3 linked regions of the Callithrix jacchus genome follow. The protein of the gene in region 3 purifies or fractionates together with the protein of the main gene of each other region. This does not show direct contact. Links are inferred from orthologs where the notes say so. Each region holds a gene or a part of one and is shown on either strand. Other genes may lie near its edges.

Region 1 (4,006 bases), on a different chromosome or scaffold from region 3:
TGGGTGTCAGCATGGTATTCCAAAATAATGAACTTTCTAATAGTGCTGGAAGTACTAAATTAGCTTACTTACCCTTATAACTTTATAAGAGCCAGAAGGTATTGTTTCAAAATGACTTTTTAAAAATGGAAGTGAATATGCAAAGATAAGTTAGGCAATTTGCCTAAAGCTTCATCAGGAGACTCGGGAGGAGACAGTGAATTAGATCCTTTAGAGTGCAGTGTTCTTTCTGTCTACTTGCCAAAGACGAAGGCATCTGGGAGTCTATGACAGCTTCAATAAAATACATAAAATGACTAATGATGCTGCTGATTAGGTGGAAAGTGAGAGAACAAGTGTTTAGGGATGCTAGAATTGCCAGTGGGAAATTAAAAACAAAACAAAACAAAAACACATCTCCTAAAGGCTTACCTCTGGTGGTTTCGCAAGTATAACATCCATTACAGCATCAAAGATTTATAGTTTTTTTTTTCTTTGAGACAGGGTCTCACTATGTTGCCTAGGCTGAAGTGCGGTAGCACGATCATGGCTCACTGCAGCCTGGAAAATTTTTAAAAATTTTTGTAGAGACAGGTTCCCACGGTGTTGCCAAGGCTGGTCTTGAACTCCTGGCCTCAAGTGATCTTTCTGCCTTGGCCTCCCAGAGTGCTGGGATTATAGGTGTGAGCCTATAATTTGGGAATTAAATCCCCAAAGCTGAAGTCTGGGAAGAAGTCACTTATCAGTGAGTGAATCTAGCCAGCTACTGAGCATTTTGTTATTTATTTATTTTTTGAAGACAGAGTCTTGTTTTTGTCGCCCAGGCTGGAGTGCAATGGCACAATTTCAGCTCACTGCAACTTCCACCTCCTGGGTTTCAGCGATTCTCCTGCCGCAGCCTCCTGAGTAGCTGGGATTGTAGGTGCCCGCTACCATGCCTAGCTAATTTTTGTATTTTTAGTAGAGATGGGGTTTCACCATGTTGGCCAGGCTGGTCTCAAACTCCTGACCTCAGGTGATCCACCTGCCTCGGCTGCTGTTCCCCTAACAGCAGCAAACTCATCTTTCAACTTACTTTTCCTCACATTACATATATAATTTGGAAGAAGGAACAAAAAAGCGAGGGAAATTGCAATCTCCTAATTGAGGTATAAAACATAACTTTCCACATTGAATAGTTACAAACACTTAGGAACAGTGTGACAGGAGGCAGAGATACCAACAGCACTGGAAATGATGATGGAGATCAAATCTCAAAAAGCAGTTTTCTATAGCTTAGTCACACTTGGCTCAATTTTTCACTTTTTGTACTTAAAAGGTATGGCAATTTTTTGGTGCTTTATTTAGTAATTATGTCATTTTGCCTGATAATACAATTTCAGTACATTACTTTCCTTAAATCATTTCCCTTTGGTGAAACAGAAAAAGCAGAATTGGTCTTTAGGCATGTGTGCTCAAATCAAATGATCTTTCCCCATTATGGCTATGTTCTTCCAGTGGTCACCTTCCCTTCAATATTCTTTCATGCAGCAAAGTGAGTCTTTACTTTGTACTAGGAACTGTTCTGACACTGGGGAAACCATGTCAACAGGACCCACATGATCCCTGTCCCTGCCCTCAAGGAGACAGAAAACAAATGAACAAATACAATAATTACACAGGGATCGGGAGCTGTAAAGGGTACTCTATTAAAGTTAGTGGCTGTGGAACTAATTTGAAGAGGGTAGTCAAGGAGGGCTACTCTGGGACAGATTTAGACAGAGGCCCGAGGAAAGATGGATTTGGATAAACAGTATGTTTATGGAGAGTTCAAGGAAGAGGTACCAATTACACTCATGCTGTGTGTGTAAAGGAGGCAGGATAAAAACTTTCGTTCCAGGCATAGAGACCATAAAGTGTATCTTGGAGAGGAAAAGTGTGTTGTAGAGGGTTAGGTGGCCAGTGTAGCTGAAACTTCAGGAGCCAGACAAGAAACGGGATTGTAAACGTGGGTTAAGGACCACATCAGGGCCTTGTAGGCCATGGCAAGGAGTCTAGCTTTTATCTCAATGCCAAGAGAAGCTGTAGGATTACTTCAGACAGCTGAATTACACGATCTGTCTTTCTTGTTAAAAGATCACGCGGGTAAAACGAGACGTGTCGAGGAAAGTTTTAAACCCAGAGAACTTAAGTCAGATGCAAAAATTATGCACTTCTTCGGGCCTCAGGTTTTCCATAAGTAAAGCCTTGAACTAGAAGCCATTTCCTTCCCACTGCGATGTGGTGAGTTCTGAGCATGGGCCGCGTCAGACTGACCATGGAATTCCCCTCATCGATGCCGGCGCCCATCTACGCCGGCGCCCAGAACACAACTGGCGCCCTGAAACTGTTGGTCACCGCAATGAATCAATGAATGCTCTGCTATGGACGCGGGACCAGGCCCCGGCGCCAGAAAAGAACGCGATGGGTCGCGCGGGAGGCCGCGAGAGGCTTCCGACGAGGACGTAGGGGCCGGCTCCAACACAACCAAGGCGCGCCGAGCAGGGGAACCCGGGCCTCGCAGGTTGAGGGAAGAAAAAAATCGGACTAGGGCCCGACACCGGGAACTAGGAGAGAAGGCCGAAAAGTGGGGCGGAGGAAGGGTTCTGGTTCCAGGCCTGGGGGCCCAGCCACTCACCGCAGCCGTCGCCAGGCTGTGCATGTTGGGAGCGGCCGCCGCTCTCCTTTCGCAGCCGGACGCGCCCGACCCGCGTCCCAGCTTCAGCACCCCTGCCGCCGAAAATAATGAGCCGCTGTAGCAGCCATCCGCCTCTAGCTCGCTCCGCCCCCTTCGCAGCCCTCTGACCTATCACCTCTGACCCCACCCACACATCCTCTTCCCGCCCCCTGGCCCTCGGCCTAGTTAACAGTCCCGGAGTCTGTCCTTTGCCTCTTAAGATTTAGGACCCGAAAAACGTCCGCGACCAACTAGTTCCCGCAACTCCTAGCTTTAAGCAGATATTTCCAGAGAGCGGCGTGAACTCTGACCCTTCTCCAGAGGCCAGTGAACGGCGGGAAAAAATGGACCGTCCCGTGAGGAAAACAATTGCGCATGCCCAACTGGGCAGAGTAAGAGGGAAACGATGGGAGGGTCGAAATCGGGTGAAGCAGGAAGTGCGCCTGCGTACTACAGTCAGGGCTGGGGCGGGGCTGACCGGGTTAGGCCGCACTAGGTGCTGTTGGGGGCGGGGCGAGGGCGTATGAGGGGCGGAGTTTTCGCTGGCGCGCACGCGCCTGTGTGGTCGCGTCAAGTCTGCGTGCGTGCGTGCGTGTTTGCGTGTGGTCGCAGTTCCCGCCATCAGCCGCTCGCTCTGACTAGGGGTAGGTAGCGGCCTCCCTCCTTTGGGTTTGTTATCCCTACTTTCATTACCCCTGGCTCCTCTCGCTCTGCGCCGCTGCGTGCTTTCCGCAGGTCTGTCCGGGGGCTCTGGACCCTCAGCGCAGGTAAGGAGGGTCGGGGTAGCTTCTCAATTGAGCCGTTTTCCCTAGCGCCCAGTCCCTCTGTGCGATCCGCCCACTCGGTGTTCACTCTTTTGGAGTTCGCCCAGCTGCTACTCAGGCCGCCCACAACCCCTGGACGCACCCTCAGCCTCACAGGTACTCCCTTTGGGTTCACTGCCCCGGCTTTCCCCTCTCTGACTTGGTCTCCACTGCCAGTCGCTCCTTCCGAAACTCGAACCTGGCCCCTTTCCTCTGGGGCTGTTGTCGTCAGCCACTTTGCCTCTTAACAAGGCCTGTCTCTTCTGGTGACTGTGACTTTGGTTGCCGCACATCCACCAGGCCTTGGACATGATACTCATTTACCCTCTTGACCATGTTCACCTTCCTCTTGACCAGTCCTCACTGCAAAACATGAGTTGTATTTTTCTTGTGCATTTCCTTGCGCCCATTTCTAGCTATCACATCAGGTTGTTTGATTTCGTTCTTCTAAGTCATGATCTGTAAAAGAAATGATTGATGACAAAGTCCTGTGTCCAGGAGAATTGTCCTGAATTGGTTTTGGGGTAGT
Region 2 (4,252 bases), on a different chromosome or scaffold from region 3:
TTTCTCACAGCAGTTGCCACTATAAACCACTATATTCTATAGGCACATCTGCTCGACTGTTTGCCTCATTGAAACATAAACTCAATGAGGGCAGAAGCTTGGTCGTTTTTTTTTTTTCAACCCCGGGCCTAAACACATAGCTGGCCTTCAAAACACTGAACATAAAATTAACCCTTGGGACGTTTCAGATTCTGAGAACAGGAACCATCTCTGAACCATTCTCTCTGACTGTGATCATCTAGGTCCTTCATTCAAAATGCATTAATTGGAAATACCTAAAAGAAACGTGGGAGGGGGTCGGAAGAAAGTGGAGAAGAGATATTTACATAAATTAAAAAGGGAGCTGATATATGCGTAACACTTTTGCTCAACGTCAACTTCTCAAGTCAAGGCCTCACTGACACTGGCACTCAATACACAGGTGCTGAATAAATAAATGATAAAAGTGAAACCCAGAGAGGTTAAAGGATTTCCTCAAGGTCACACACCTAGCAACAAACACAGCCCTTACTATAACCTTGTCTACTATAGCCCCGTGTGTTGGCTCTTTCCACAGTCACTTCCACTACACCACAGAGCCTGTTCCAGCACATGATTCTATTTAACAGATTTCTCCTCTTTTTTTTTTTTTTAAGTGCCAAAGAAAATACATGTTACCAAAAAAAGTGACACACTGGGTAGCATTTTAAACTCAAGTGTTTCGCCAACTAAAACTATATTCAAATTTCATAAGTATACAGGCTTAGCCCGTAAAACAGAAAGGCACAACTATTCATAGTTAAGTTCCTCTTGAAATTGGTGTGTATGCTTTGAAAGTTTTAAAACAACCACTGAAAAACCTATTCACCAATTCTGAATGGCCTGTAAAGTATCAGCCTCACTTTCATTATTTTCAGAGCCCACAGTATCTCCTCCCTGGCTATACTTTATCTTGCAGATTATGCAAGGCAATGTAACTAACTTCAAAGCCCCTCTATTTCCTTTTAAAGTACAAAAAAATCTCCCAAAACACTGAACATAAAATTAACCCTTGGGACGTTTCAGATTCTGAGAACAGGAACCATCTCTGAACCATTCTCTCTGACTGTGATCATCTAGGTCCTTCATTCAAAATGCATTAATTGGAAATACTTAAAAGAAACGTGGGAGGGGGTCGGAAGAAAGTGGAGGAGATATTTACATATATTAAAAAGGGAGCTGATACATGCATAACACTTTTGCTCAACGTCAACTTCTTGTGTCAAGTCGAGGCCTCACTGACACAACTTCTGCTGTCTTCTTGATCACCTTCCTCGCAGAGACGGGCCAAAGCCGGCACCTTCTGCCGGGACTGTCTCTAGACCTAGGATGGGGCACACCAGGACAGCGGACGGTTTGCTCCGCGTCTCTCAAAACTATTGCCAGCCCAATTAGTAAACCGAGAGGGCAGCCCTGAGATGCGGGATGGCCAGAGTTGAAATGAGCCTGGGAGTTAAGAGTGGGATGGGGCGACGAACAGGCGTGGGGAGGGTAAACAACGCACAGGTAACAGGAGTGAGAACAGGGTTGAGGTGGGGTCAGCGAAAGGCAAAAGACGAAGGAAGGAAGGGAACGGGGCTCAGGGTGGGATGGGCGGTAGCAAAGGGGGAGGGAACGCGAGCGGGCTGGGGGAGGGGGAGAAGGGTCCGGGGCGGGGCGGAAGGGAGCAAAGAGGCGGGATGAAGACGGCCAGGCCGGGAGGGTCTTTACCTGCAGCTCCGCCCGCTCCACCTCCCACTGGGCTCTCTCCACCTCGAAGCGGGCCCACTCGTGCTGCAGGAAGTGCAGGATCCCTGGGAGACTGTACTGGGCTCGGGCCGCCCCCGCCGCAGCCGCCCCGTCGCCGGCCGCGGCAGCCTCCGCCAGAGGCCCGAGCCCCTTGGCACCGCCGGCGCCCGGGTGGTTGTTGCTGAAGAAGACGCCGGGACCCGCCTGCTCGTCCATGGCGGCCGCAGATACCCGGGGAGCTGCCCCGGCGCCCAGCAGCGGAGGCAACAGCGGCGGCAAGCAGCGCCTCCTCCTCCCTCCGCCGCTCCCGCCCACACCCCAGTCAGCAGGGAGCAGCCGCCTGGGCGCGGGGGCCGGCCGAGCCCGTGACGGGCCGGGAAATGGGTCAACTGCAGCGCGCGGGTGGCCCGGGGCTTGCCGGGAAATGTAGTCGTGGGGCGGGACGCGGGCGAGCGAGACCAAGGCGGCCTGTGGGGCTTCGCCTCGGCTGGGGCGTGGCTTCGGGCCTGTCCCGCCCACTCCGGCTCGCCGCGGAGGGGCGGGCTTGGCGGGGAGCGCGGGTTTCCTATTGCTGGCTGGGCGCGGGCGGGCGGCGCTCCAGTCTTCCTTGCACGCGGAAGTTGGCGGGCGGCGCTCCCTTTTGCGCACACACACACAAGCACGCGGGCGGCACTCCCTGTTGCACACATACACACACACGGAAGTTATCACGCCAAGATACCAGCCCGAGCCGCGTATCGTTTAAGGCTTCCTGGTCGTTCTGTGAAGAAACCGTCAAAGCGAACTACCTGGTGCGGCAGCGGGACGGGTTCTCCCGCCGTCAGTCCTGCGAGCTCTCGTGCCGGCTCCGACTTCGGAGTTTTTATCACCCTAGACGCTCCTCCATTCTGCCAGTCTGCGGGTCGCTGTCGCTCCTGCCTTTCTTTTTTGACTCGAGGGGCTCAAACCTGTTGCCTGACCAGTTTTCATTTCTAAGGAACGCTGCTCACCTCTCCAAGACAGCGCCGCAGCTTGCTGCTGCTGCTGCCTGCAAATTGTAGTTTGTTGACAGCCCGTCGGAAAACCTGCTCTGTTGAAGTTTCTTTCCCTTTGCAGCCCTCTGCAGTAAATCCTGTAAAAGTTTTAGCATCCAATAACAGATGCTTTGTTATTTGCCTCATTTTTCCTTACTCCCGCTCATTTTTACTCCATTTAATTGAACATATATTTTGATTATCGGTTATCTCTCGCGCTGGGAATATTAAGATAAATGACACCATTTCTGTTATCAAAGATTGGCATAGAATCAAGTATAACACTGCCTGCAAAGCGACACCACCTGAAAGAGCAAGGTCCCTTTCTGCTTCCTAGCCCAGTCTTAGATATCCTGTCCCCTCTCCATTTTCACTTGTCCTGTTCCAGTTTCTTTTACGATTCACTTGCAAACTGGCAACAGCATCCGCCTACCAAAGGTACACCAAAGTCCTTTCCTTTTAAGTGGCTCTCTGTAAATATTTTCCTTTTCCGAAGTCTGACAATATGTCACTATAAATTCACACTGCAACAGTGGGAGAAAGGGAAGGCCCTTGAAAACAATTTTTAAAATGCAAATGAGGCTGGGCTTGGTGGCTCACGCCTGTGAACCAAAGCACCTTGGGAGGCTGAGGTAGGTGGATCGCTTGAGTTCAGGAGTTCGAGACCGGCCTGACCAACATGGGGAAACCCCGTCTCCACTAAAACTACAAAATTAGCTAAGTGTGGTGGCGCATGCCTGTAATGCCAGCTACTCCAGAGACTGAGGCAGGAAAATTGCTTGAACCCAGGAGGCGAAGGTTGCAGTGAGCCGAGATTGCGCCATTGCACTCCAGTCTGGGCAACAAGAGCAAAACTCCGTTTCAAAAAAAAAAAGCAAATGAAATTAAGCACCTTTTTATCACCCTAACAAGTTATCTGGAATTCTTATGTTTTCTAGGACGTACTTCTGGGCTATCAGACTTGATGGCCATGAAAAAAATGAAAAGATACAGGCTGCTGAGTGACATGTCAGGGAAAGACATCCTGTCCCTGTCCTCTCTCCCCTCCCCCCTTTCCCATGGCTACTTGCAGAAAGGACAGGAAACACATTGTATCTGCTCTGGTTGCAAATAAAGATGGAGAACTCTCTTCTCTCCTTAATTGATGTTTCTGCTTTATGAATTAATTCTTTATTATCATAAAAGATTGATCCAGGCCTGGCCAAATTCCCTGTGTCATAACTTATTTGGCTGTCAGTGTCCTTTGAGATACAGCCCAGTCTTCTCGTTTATAGCTCAAGGAACTAAGTTTCAAAAAAATTGAGACTTGTCCACAATGAGGCCTTGAGTGAGAGGACACATGCAACAATTTGTTTAAGTCAATTCATAGCAGACCACAAAATGTAGTTAAATTCATAGATAATCTGGACTACCACACATATACAAAAACACTATTTTAATTCATAGTTCAACTTTATTACTCACAATACCTTTTTTTGCTTTACGAGGACTCA
Region 3 (4,200 bases):
ACACCATTTCTCACTGGAAAACAGACAGGAATAGAACAAGAGATGACTTAGCTGGCGGCTCGACAGTGCCACATCTCTCTGAGGTGGAGTGGGGGGCGCGGGGACAGGCACTGAGAAAAGGTCACCAGCAAGAAGGCAGGCCCTCCCTCTCTAGCCCCATTTCAAAGGAAGTACAGCTCTCCCTCAAGCCCTTGTATTTTGGGGTGGAAAGGGGGGAAGCAGATGCTTTCTCAAGCAGCATAAGGCAGGCCAGACAGAAGCACTGGGAGCAGGTCACCAGGTCTCCTGAGGGGAGGGAGAGTAGAATAAGGCTGCAGGCAACTAAGGAAAACTAACGTTGCTTTAAGCTGAGAAGTCCAGAGGGAAATACCACATCTAAGGTCAGAAGGTATTTGTGGAATTGCTGGAAATCCCGGGTTGAGGGTCAAAGCCAAACCACCATAAGAGGCTAAAGAAACCCAAGCAGAGTCCCACAAAGTTCAAAGCAAAGGTTGTGGTTTGGACCCACCCTTTTTTTTTTTCTTTGGAGACAAGGACTCGCTGTGTCACCCAGACTGGAGTGCAGCAGCGCAATCTCAGCTCATTGCAACCTCCATCTCCCGGGTTCAAGCGACTCTCCTGCCTCAGCATCCCGAGTAGCTGGGATTAAAGGCATGTGCCACCACGTCCAGCTAATCTTTGTATTTTTAGTAGGGACGGATGGGGTTTCACAGTGTTAGCCAGGCTGGTCTCAAACTCCTGACCTCAGGTGATGCCCCACTCCCACCTTGGCCTCCCAAAGTGCTGGGATTACAGGTGTGAGCCACCTTGCCTGGGCTGACCCACCCATTTTTTTATTGTATTCCAGTCACCCCAGCCACAGGAACCTGTAGCCAGAGTTAATCAATAACCAAGGTAGGACGGAAAGGTGGAAGTTCATCCCAGAATGGAACATATTAAGGGACTTTTACGCAGAATCTAGATTTCCATCTTATATACCAACTAACTTGGACATCGCAGTTTAAACCCTGGCTAAGCTGACCTTAAGAATCTCCCTCTTAAAGCCTTCAGACCCTCTCCCCATCAACACACATACACGTGCCTGTGCACACAAAGAAATTAAACGTTCATTCTCTCTCCCCAGCAATTTATCACCTTATCTCCAGTCAGGTCTCATAGCCCAATATTGCACCAAACAAATTATGACCTGAATGGCAAGAGAAAACTGTGTCACCTAGAGAAACCCAATTAACAACATGACTCTGCTCTCTTCAATTCCCCTCTCCCCTCCAGCCATATCCGGGGCACCTGTGTGGCTGACCGCCTTTTCCCACTCTGGCGTTGTTCTCTGGCTGGCTCAAAAGCCAGAAGACAATCCGAGGAGGGGCTTCCAGAGAAGCAAACCTAGGGATGGGAAATCCTGCTCTCCCCACACCTTGGCCTGGTGAGAGCGCTGGAAGGGCATATTCCTAACCACCTGGCTGACAGTCTGGAGTGTTCACCTTGAAATCACTAAGTTGCCCCTTAAGCCAAAGCTCCCTGCTGAAGAAAACATAAATGCTACAGAAAGCTCCTACACCAGAGTGTGTAAGTGCCCCACAAGGGACAATACACGGGTATTTCCAAGAAATTCCTGCTGCAGTTTCTTCCTCTCAACCCCTTTCCTAATTAGCCCCTACTCTGAGAGGTCTCCATTGCTTCCAGCCCTCAGCTAACATAAATACCCACTGCCTTTCCAAACCTTCCGCCTGACCACATGTAGCATGTGTCGTGTGTGTGTGTGTGTGTGTGTGTGTGTGTGTGTGTGTGTAAACATCCTCTTCCCAGCCCGTGCTACAGTTTCCAAAGAGAAGAAATGCCTCCCCTCCTCCCCGAGTGCTCCTGGCCCGGCTACGCTGCAGAGTTGGTCATGTAATATTCAGGGACCCTGAGACCGGAAATGCCTGGTTCTGAACTGCTGCACTTGAAACAGGAGAAGGGATAGGGAAAACTGAACGTCGGATTGAGGGTGACGGTAGGAGGGGTGGGGTGGCTGAAATTCCGACCAGGGAAAGGATGCAAGGGTTGGAGAGAAAGAGAAAGAGGGATGAGAGGAAGGCTGTCGAGACAGTTGCAAAGTCAAAATTCCAAGAGCCGAGGAAGAGGAGGGGAAGAAGATAGAAGTAAGGGCAAGGGTGGAAAGAGGACGGAGAGGAGGTGAGGAGCCAAAATAAAGATTCTGCAGGTGATGGGAGAGGCTAAGTTTAGGGGAAACCAGAGGGTCCCGAACCCCAGAGTAAAGGTAGGGTGGCAGGGAAGTGTGGGGGCGGGGCACCACAGGGTGGGGACCGAACTGGCTCCCAGCATCTACAGCGAGTGGAGAGAGAAGGGAGCAGAGGACGGGGGCCCAGCCGCCGCGGGAGCCGGGGAAAGGGGCACGGGTCGCCAAGGGGACCCAGGCTGGTGGAGGGGGCGCCTGGGAGCACGTGAGGCGTGCAGCCACCCCGCTCCCTCCACAGCGGCGGGAACAGGAACCAGGGCGAGGCTAGGGGGCGGCGCGCTCACCCGCAGGGCGGACAGGTCGATGTCGTCCAGGCTGCGGGCGGGGGCTGGGTCACCCATGGCCTCTGCGGGGAACGGGGCACCGGGGCCGCTCACGCTCCGGTTCGGTTATTCCACTGCCGCCGTCGCCGCTTCTCCCCCATCGGAGGACCCCGGGGGCGGACTCCACCGCGCCTCCCCCGGAGACCGGGGAGGGGGAGGGCCGGCGCGAAGACCGACCCACCGACTGACAAGCGCTATCGCTTCGGAGCCAGCCACCCGAGCCTCCCGTCTCTCCTGCGCAGGCGCGGAGCGGCCGCGCGAGGGGAGGGTGGAAGCGGGAGCGCGACGCGAGCGCGCCGGGGCCCCCCCTCCCCCTAGGCACCGACACCTGCGCGCAGGCGCAGGCGAGCCGTCGAAAGGCGCGCGCGGGGACGGAGCGACCGCGCAAGCCTGGCGTGAAAGAAGTGGGCGGCGGCCGAGGCGGCCGCGGAGCGCGCCCACCAGCTGGCGCGCGTGCGCACTCGCGTTTCCTTGTCTTTCCCTATTTTTTGTCCTTTCTCTCCCTTATTTCCTTCTTAGATCTCCTTTGACGCCTTTCCTTCCCTTTTCCTCCTTCTTTTGTGTGCCCATTTGCCAATCAAGCCACCCACCTCTCCATTTGCGGGGGAAGGGGGCGGTACCCAACCCCCTCTATTACTAGGGTGTTGTTATGGTAACTCCCCACGCGAGGGCTGGGTGGCCTCTAGATAGGACGGGCTGTCCACCCACCCAATTGCTATGGCAACAGTGGAGCCGCGGAGGGAGGGGCCATTCCGTGAGAACTTGGCTGGAGAAACCACGTGGGAGTTGGGGGGCAGAGGAGGGGCACCGGCTGCCTCAAGAATGCCCTTTCCACCCTCACCTAGCAGGTGGGGGAAGCATTGAGGAGCTCTGAGATCTCAGGATAAGGAATCCTACTGCAGACGTGTATCTCTGCACCTCTTTTAACAAAGTGTTCTGCACAAAAGAACTGTTTCGACAATTATTCATTGATCACTGGAGTCGCGCTTGGGGGAAGGGGTGGTGAAGAGGAAGAGAGGGAATCTGCGTTCAATCCCTTCAAATACTGCTTGGGTCACCTCAGATCTAGTCATGTTGGCACAGCACCTACTGCCATTAGCTTTAGTGGAGGCTGAATAATGCTATCTAAGAACCAAGAGTCATGTTCTGCCACTGACATGCTGTGTGACCTTGAGCAAATTGCTTTGCTTCTTTGGCCTTTTCTTTCCCTGTGAAATTGAGTGGGGCAGCTGTACGATCCTCAAGATCTCTTCCAGCACCAACACTGTCTCTGAAAGACCCCACCACCAGCCTTAATATAAACATCACTTAAGAGAGTTTAAATTAAAAGTCCTTGGAAAATAGCTGAACACGCTTTCTGGACCCTTCTCCTTAGCATTTGGATGCACATCCAGTCAGCCCCCTTCTTCAAGTCAATCCTTTCTTCTTCTTCTTCTTCTTTTGGGGGAGATGAAGTCTCTCTCTGTTGCCCAGGCTGGAGTACAATGGCATGATCTCTGTTCACTGCAACCTCAATCTCCTGGGCTCAAGCGATCCTCCAGCCTCAGCCTCCCGAGTAGCTGGGACAACAGGCAGTGCATGCCACTACCCCTGGCTAATTTAGGTATGTTTTGTAGAGACAGGGCTTTGCTACGTCAC

What was found. Proteins that work in one complex are often made in the same cells at the same time.
Region 1: the proteins of MINK1 (region 3) and CNOT9 purify together in Homo sapiens (affinity purification with mass spectrometry; 3 studies listed by BioGRID and IntAct, with this or other methods). This does not show direct contact. The link is inferred for Callithrix jacchus from reciprocal best matches to the Homo sapiens genes MINK1 and CNOT9.
Region 2: the proteins of MINK1 (region 3) and STRN purify together in Homo sapiens (affinity purification with mass spectrometry; 3 studies listed by BioGRID and IntAct, with this or other methods). This does not show direct contact. The link is inferred for Callithrix jacchus from reciprocal best matches to the Homo sapiens genes MINK1 and STRN.

What each region holds. Positions count from the first base shown.
Region 1 is NC_133507.1:140,310,763-140,314,768, reverse strand, and holds the start of CNOT9 (CCR4-NOT transcription complex subunit 9), read right to left. Parts: upstream 2,801-4,006; 5' UTR 2,660-2,800; coding exon 2,636-2,659; intron 1-2,635. UniProt on the Homo sapiens protein: Component of the CCR4-NOT complex which is one of the major cellular mRNA deadenylases and is linked to various cellular processes including bulk mRNA degradation, miRNA-mediated repression, translational repression during translational initiation and general transcription regulation.
Region 2 is NC_133515.1:78,023,603-78,027,854, reverse strand, and holds the start of STRN (striatin), read right to left. Parts: upstream 2,801-4,252; 5' UTR 2,436-2,800; coding exon 1,908-2,435; coding exon of another isoform or gene 1,825-1,907; coding exon 1,729-1,824; intron 1-1,728. UniProt on the Homo sapiens protein: Calmodulin-binding scaffolding protein which is the center of the striatin-interacting phosphatase and kinase (STRIPAK) complexes.
Region 3 is NC_133506.1:106,401,942-106,406,141, reverse strand, and holds the start of MINK1 (misshapen-like kinase 1), read right to left. Parts: upstream 2,801-4,200; 5' UTR 2,581-2,800; coding exon 2,524-2,580; intron 1-2,523. UniProt on the Homo sapiens protein: Serine/threonine kinase which acts as a negative regulator of Ras-related Rap2-mediated signal transduction to control neuronal structure and AMPA receptor trafficking.